Linked DNA regions of Mus musculus. The protein of the gene in region 1 purifies or fractionates together with the protein of each later gene. This does not show direct contact. Links are inferred from orthologs where the notes say so. Each region holds a gene or a part of one and is shown on either strand. Other genes may lie near its edges.

Region 1 (3,749 bases):
TAAATGGCTTATGATTTCAGGTCCATCACTAAGGGAAATACAAGACCAGCCTGGTTTACAGAGTAAGTTCCAGGACAGTCAGGAGCCTACATTTAGCCTGGGGTAATGATTCTCTACCGTCTGTCTTTGCAGATGTCCTTTCTGAACATTTTAAACAAATGGACACACTATACTGGTTTTGCCTGCCTTCTTTTACTTAGCATGTTTTTCAGATTTCTCCACATTGTGTGACAGGTATCAGAACTTCTATTGTCAGACAATATTCCACTGAATAACTATGGCATACTTTATCTGTTTACCAACTGCTTTATGAGTTGTTTACACTTTTTGGCTATTGTAAATAACTCACTTTTAAGTATTCATGTATAAATGAACATCTTCACTTCCCTTGAACAGACACCTAATAAAAGGGCTGGCTCACGTAGCTAATTTATGTTTGTTTTTTTTTTTAAACTAGGGCTGGTGAGATGGCTCAGTTGATAAGAGCACCCGACTGCTCTTCCGAAGGTCCGGAGTTCAAATCCCAGCAACCACATGGTGACTCACAACCATCTGTAACAAGATCTGACGCCCTCTTCTGGAGTGTCTGAAGACAGCTACAGTGTACTTACATATAATAAATAAATAAATCTTTAAAAAAAAAAAAAAAAGAGCACTGGTCTCTTCCAGAGGTCCTGAGTTCAATTCCCAGCAAACACATGGTGGGAATCTGATGTCCTCTTCTGGTATTCATGAAGATAGAGAAAGCACTTATGAACATAAAATACATTTAAATTTTTTTTCCAAACCAAAGTTGTTATATCATTTTAGATATAATACCAGCAACCCATGAATTTCCACATCCTAACCAACAGCTGTTATTATCATATTTGCAATTTTTTTTAAAAAGATTTATTTATTATATCTAAGTACACTGTAGCTGTCTTCAGACACACCAGAAGAGGGCATCCGATCTCATCATAGATGTTTGTGAGTCACCATGTAGTTTCTAGGATTTGAACTCAAGACCTCCGGAAGAACAGTCAGTGCTCTTACCAGTCCTGCTCCCTGGGGCCTGAAGATTGATTGATTGAATGATTATATGTAAGTACGAGCACCAGAAGAGAGCATCAGATCTCATTACAGATGGTTGTAAGCCACCATGTGGTTGCTGGGATTTGAACTCAGGACCTCTGGAAAAACAGTCAATGATCTTAACAGCTGAGCCATCTCTCCATCCCCCATTTGCAATTTTTTCCCCCGAGACAGGGTTTCTCTGTATAGCTCTGGCTGTCCTAGAACTCACTCTGTAGACCAAGGCTGGCCTCGAACTCAGAAATCCGCCTGCCTCTGCCTCCCAAGTGCTGGGATTAAAGGCATGCGGCACCACTGCCTGGTGTATTTGCAATTTTTAAGATGAGATCACATATACTTTCTGCCACACTATCTTTCACTTTCTTATCACTATCTTTCCCCTACCCCTTCTACCGCATGAACTTAGAGAACTGCCTAAAATCTCCATGTCCAGTCAACGCAGAAAGTACCTGTTACGTAATCGTCTTAACCTCAAGCTGTGTTTCCTATTTTAAAGGCTCTGTTAAATACAGGGCTGCACACACAGAACTCCTCTGAAAGGAAATACGCACCTAGTTTCAGCTCGATTGCTGTGTTGGTGTTACACTTGTACTCTGCTAGTTTCTTCTCCACGGCACTCTTATACTCCACCAGAAATTTCTCCAAGGCTAGAAACGAATAAAGCACAGCAAGAGGATTCTACTACACACAGCACAGAAGTTCCATTCTAAGTGACAAGTTGGGCAGTGTAAAAACGACTTTCTCAAAGGACATCTAAAAAAACAATGATCTCAGGAATCCTGAAGGGTTATGAGACCCTGAGTGTGCCCTGAACCAGGGCAGGGCAGCAGCACCGCGCTCGCTCAGAAGTTGGCTGGGAGGGAGGTGGGCAGGGCCCTGGAGAGGATCAGCTGGCGGGAACTGGACCTAATGGGTTACATTAGGGCGACAGTGAGCAAAGGGGAACGAGGGGGTGAAAGGCTCCGAGGCAGACCGCGCTCCACCAGACCAAACTGAGCGCCTTGCCTGAGCTCAAGGCCCGGGAGGCCCACGGGAGGCGCCGAGCGTCAGCACCGGGGGCGGTGGCGCCGAGCGCGGCCCACCGGGAGCCAGTCCCCGACCCTCAGTGCCTCGCGGAAGGGAGAGGCCTTCTGGAACCTCTGCTAGAGCCCGAAAGTTCCAGGCGGCCACTGTCACGGCCGCCTCAACGTTCTTCCCCAGAAGCACCCGCCTCCTCCCCTTGCTAAACTTTTCCCGGGAACTTACCCGCCATTTCCGAGCTCCGAGCGCCCGCAGCTGAGGAAGGACAAATCAACCCGCGCGCTCCCGGGCCGGAAGTGACCGCAAGGACTTACGCGTTTCCCCCGCCCATCCTCGGCGAGCCACGAACCAATGAGAGGGAGAAGGTCCAGGCGCGCGGCGGCGGAAGTGCCTCAGGAGGCGGGGCTAGCACCGTGAGAAGGCGCCCGCGGTTGCCTAGCCACCGCACGTGAGGATGCCCTCACCCCATGTCTTCGGCGTCCCAGCCTGTGCGGCTTGCTGGCCACTAGAGACTTGCTTAGAAATTAATGTGAATTCTCAAACAGCTTAAGGCGATTGTCCTTCCCATCTTTTGGCCCGAACGCAAGTTTTTCTGTGGGGGTTTCATTTCGAAGTTTTTAAACTTTTTGATTCAACTTTGCCATAACCCATTTTAAAAGGTTCCTCTGAATTTTATTCGTATTTTGGAGCTGGGTGACCAATTCAGAGTCATACTTATGGTAGACATAAGGCTCTGCCACTAACCCATTATAGACTTTCTTTGTGCTCCCAAATTGAAAAATAGTGCCATATTAAAGAACTCAGGGACCCAAAATGGAAGACTCCCGAAAGCTGTGCTCTGATTACATGCTAGCGTGCACAACTATTAAAAGTAAAATTTAGAAATATACCTGCTTTTGCTCTTAAGTTTTCTGGACAACCATTTAGCTCACTAAAAGTGGTTACTAACACTACCTCAAGTGGCTTGATTTAGTTGGACTTGTATGAGGTCCTAGTGGCTTGAACTAATCATAGGATACTACCCATTTTTAATCATGGGCCTTATTATTTAGTTGCTTTTGGATTTTTTTTTTTCTCCCAGAGGATAATTTGCTATTTACCTCTACGATGGTATTCAAATACCAGACTCCCTGGTGTCAACACATTTGCTGATACGCTTTAAAATGATGCATGCCGTATGGAAAGTTGATCTTTGGTATATCGGGTCTCTCTAGAAAAGAAGGAACCAATGGAATGAACATATATTAAAAGATGACTTACCACCTTGGCTTATGTGGTACACTTGGAGAGGCCAGACAGTGGTTGTCTCACAGCAAATGCTGAAAACCTGGTGGTCAGTCCTCAAAGCTAGGAGCCTCAGCCCAATCTGCCTGTGAAGACCTGAGGGACTCCTGGAGAACTGTTGGGTCTCTGCCTAGCAAGGTTCTAATACCAGCGCTTGAGAAGGCTAGGCTGACTCCATGACAGGCTTCAAATTGGCAGTTAAGGAGGTTAGGCCTAAATCTCTTACCAAGACCTGGGCAAGTCCAGGCAAGTCCAGGCCTCCGAAGCCGGCCCGCCACCTGTCTGGCCACCTGTCTGGCCCGAGGCAAGGACAATGGGTCAGCAGCAGTTTCCAGGCCTCCCCCAACAAGTTTACAGCCTCTCTACCCCGG
Region 2 (3,649 bases), on another chromosome or scaffold:
CTGATCCCCTCTGTAGACCAGGTTGACTTCAAATTCAAAGAGATTTTCCTGCCTCTGCTTCCTGAGTGCCACCCAGCTTAGCAAAGTTACTGTCTACATTTTTCAATGACAGGTACTGAGTGTAATGATTTCTGACCTTTTCTTTTTAATTTATTTATTTTATGTGTATGGGTATACTTTAGCTGAACAGATGGTTGTGAGCCTTCATGTGGTTGTTGGGAATTGAGTTTTTAGGACCTCTGCTCGCTCCAGGCCAAAGATTTATTTATTATTATTATTACGTAAGTACATTGTAGCTGTCTTCAAATGCTCCAGAATCTCATTGCAGATGGTTGTGAGCCACCATGTGGTTGCTGGTTTGAACTCAGGACCTTCAGAAGAGCAATCAGTGCTCTTACCTGCTGAGCCATCTCACCAGCTCAATTTCTGACTTTTTTGGTTTTTTGTTTTAAAGTAAAATTGGAGAAGAGCAGTCCCCAGAAGATGCAGAGGATGGCCCACCAGAATTGTTGGTATGTTACAAGTCAGACACTTTGGGATCTTCAGTGTTTAAATAATGAGTGGGCTGTGACTTAAAGTGGTCTGTATTTAATGTCTTTGTTTTGGGCCTTCCAGTTTATTCATGGTGGTCACACTGCCAAGATATCTGACTTCTCCTGGAATCCCAATGAGCCTTGGGTGATTTGTTCTGTATCAGAAGACAATATCATGCAAGTGTGGCAGATGGTGAGTGGTTTATTTATTTACTATGGGAAACTAGATCTATGAGACAACATTATTTCTTTCATACCTATGTATGCATATATGATGATCGAGGTATACAAACATTTACACACACTTTGTGGATGCAGCTGTCAGCTGTGTTCAGATTTTTCTTTCAATGTGACTTCCATATTTGTGTCATTTTTCTTTCCTTTGGTCTTTTTTGAGACAGGGTTTCTCTGTGTAACCCTGGCTGTCCTTGAACTCAGAAATCTGCCTGCCTCTGCCTCCCAAGTGCTGGGGTTAAAGGCATGCGCCACCACTGCCCGGCTGGTTTAGTTTTTCAAGATAGGTTTTCTCTGTGTGACCCTGGCTATCCTAGAGCTCACTCTGTAGATCAGGCTGGGTCTACCTGCCTCTGCTTCCCGAGTGCTAGGATTAACAGTGTGCAACACCACCACCACCTGGCTCAACCTTTCTTTTCCTTCTTTTCCTTTATCTGATTGTGCCACTGGTTAGTTTAACTAAAAATTGATCTTTTCATGCCCAGCCTTTTTTAATTTTTTTTTTTCTTTTTTGGTTTTTCGAGATAGGCTTTCTCTGTGTAGCCCTGGCTGTCCTGGAACTCACTTTGTAGACCAGGCTGGCCTCGAACTCAGAAATCCGCCTGCCTCTGCCTCCCAAGTGCTGGGATTAAAGGCGTGTGCCACCACGCCCGGCTTTTTTTTTTTAATATGACTCCAGCCAGTGATAAGGCTGAAGTAGGTTTATTTTTTCCCAGTCTGCTTTTATACCGTTCTAAGTACATGCGAAGAATAAGGTCAGTTCTAGGTCAAGGAAAAAACAAGTCAATAAAAAAAGTCCCATGGCATTCAGGGACTTAATCAAGATAATCAAGATCTTGAGCCTACTCCTTCTCCTAGCCCAGTGTCAAATTCCTGCCAAATTTCTAGAAGTGGCCCCAAGAGCTCTCCACATCTCCCTCTTTTTGATTTTATAAACAAGACTTAGGTTGTTTTGACAAGAAGCATTATCAAAAGCAATGCATTTCTGTCTTAGGTTGATGAGACTTGGTGCAGAATCTTACCTGACTTTGATTGACAGCCTCTTAATGTCTCTGTCTGGGGATCCAGTATTAGTTTCAAGCTGTGTAGGTTGGTCACCAACATTGTTATTGTTAAACACACCCAGCTTACATGTTGATCTTAAGATTCTTTTTTTTTTTTTTTTTTTTTTTTGGTTTTTCGAGACAGGGTTTTTCTGTGTAGCCCTTGGCTGTCCTGGAACTCACTCTGTAGACCAGGCTGGCCTCGAACTCAGAAATCCGCCTGCCTCTGCCTTCCAAGTGCTGGGATTAAAGGCGTGCGCCACCACTCCCGGCTTAAGATTCTTTATATACTTTGCTGTCCCACATCCCACTTGAGAGTTGTATTCCCAAAAATTGTACCTCAGGGCTGAAAGATGATTACATTTCTATAATTTCATTCATTCAGCACTGATAAGGGCCATAGTGTCTGTTTAAGACATGTTACACTGCATAGGTCTATTTGTAGTTACAAAGGAAGCTTTAGACTCCCTGTAGTACAAATTGATTGGGATGCCTGCATCATATGTGTAGCTTGAAGTTGTCTTAGTGTGATGCAAGATTAAAAATACAAGATTTAGGTGGGGTATAGTGGCACATTATGTCAGAAGACAACAAATCTCTTGAGTTTTAGCCTAGACTATGTAGCAAGTTCCAGGACAGCCAGGACTACACAACTACATACAGAGAAACCCTCTAGGATGGGAGGTTACAATAATGATGTGATTATATCAGCTTGTATACCTGAGTGTACAAAAGCCAGGAGAGTCTGGCCGTGCTTGTCTTGAGAGCTATTCTTGGGTGTGCTTGTAGGGTATGATGTTGGACTATTTAAAATATTATATATGCTTTCTGGTGCTTTTCTACTGAGAATGTGGTGAAATAACAATTTTAAAAAGGAATCCAGTGGTAGATTGTATTGTATTAAGTGATAATAGTGAAGGTGTAACCATTAAAGAAAAATAAGGAAAACCAAAACATAAAGTAAAGGCTACAACTACTGATAGAGTCATAGAGCTTTGGGTGTGTTGCTCTGTTTGGGTTTTTTGTTGTTTGTTTCAAGACAGGGTTTCTCTGGTGGCCGTGGATGTCCTAGAACTAGTTCTGTAGACCAGACTGGCCTTGAACTCACAGAGATCTGCCTTTGCCTCCCAAGTGCTGGGCTAAAGGCATAAACCACTATGCCTGACTTTTAGAGCTTTGTTTAAGATGTTAAGATGTACTTATTTCTTTAGTATATGTGCTGCCGAGATCAGCACAAGATGTTATTTCTTTAAAGAGAATTTTAAAATCTTTTAGCAGTTTGTGATGTCACAGCCTTGTATTTAAGATAGTCTTGAGACCATAAAGACCTAACAGGTTTTGTTTTGGATTTATTTACCTGATTGAGTGTTCTTCCTGCTTTTTTTATGTGCCCCATTTGCATGCAGTGCCTTTGGAGGCCGAAGTGAGGGCATCAGATCCCCTTGGCGTGCAGATACTGATGATAGTGGGTGCTTAGAACTGTACCTGGGTTCTTTACCACTGTCCCCCAGTAAAGAATTGTGTTGCTTTGTGGTTTTTTTGTTTTTGTTTTTTGAGATAGGATTTCACTGTGTGAAGCAGGCTGGATTTAATTCATAGCTATCTACCTGCCTCAGCTTTCCAAATGCCAGGGCTTAAGGACTAGAGGAGAGGACAAGCTGGCTTATTGGTGCTCCCTTTTTCTTACTATGTAGCTCTGGCCATCCATCCTCGAACTCACTCTTGTGGACCAGCCTGGCCTTGAATTCATCATCTGCCTCTGCCTCCCCAGTGCTAGGAGTTAAGGCATGCACCACCATCCCCAGGTTATAGAACCCACAGTCTTGTGCATGATCGACA

Evidence for each region.
Region 2: the proteins of Hat1 (region 1) and Rbbp4 purify together in Homo sapiens (affinity purification with mass spectrometry; 5 studies listed by BioGRID and IntAct, with this or other methods). This does not show direct contact. The link is inferred for Mus musculus from reciprocal best matches to the Homo sapiens genes HAT1 and RBBP4.

Annotation. Positions count from the first base shown.
Region 1 is NC_000068.7:71,387,875-71,391,623, reverse strand, and holds the start of Hat1 (histone acetyltransferase type B catalytic subunit), read right to left. Parts: upstream 2,365-3,749; 5' UTR 2,327-2,364; coding exon 2,320-2,326; intron 1,722-2,319; coding exon 1,626-1,721; intron 1-1,625. UniProt on the Homo sapiens protein: Histone acetyltransferase that plays a role in different biological processes including cell cycle progression, glucose metabolism, histone production or DNA damage repair. Coordinates histone production and acetylation via H4 promoter binding.
Region 2 is NC_000070.6:129,314,725-129,318,373, reverse strand, and holds part of Rbbp4 (histone-binding protein RBBP4), read left to right. Parts: intron 1-454; coding exon 455-512; intron 513-615; coding exon 616-726; intron 727-3,649. UniProt on the Homo sapiens protein: Core histone-binding subunit that may target chromatin assembly factors, chromatin remodeling factors and histone deacetylases to their histone substrates in a manner that is regulated by nucleosomal DNA.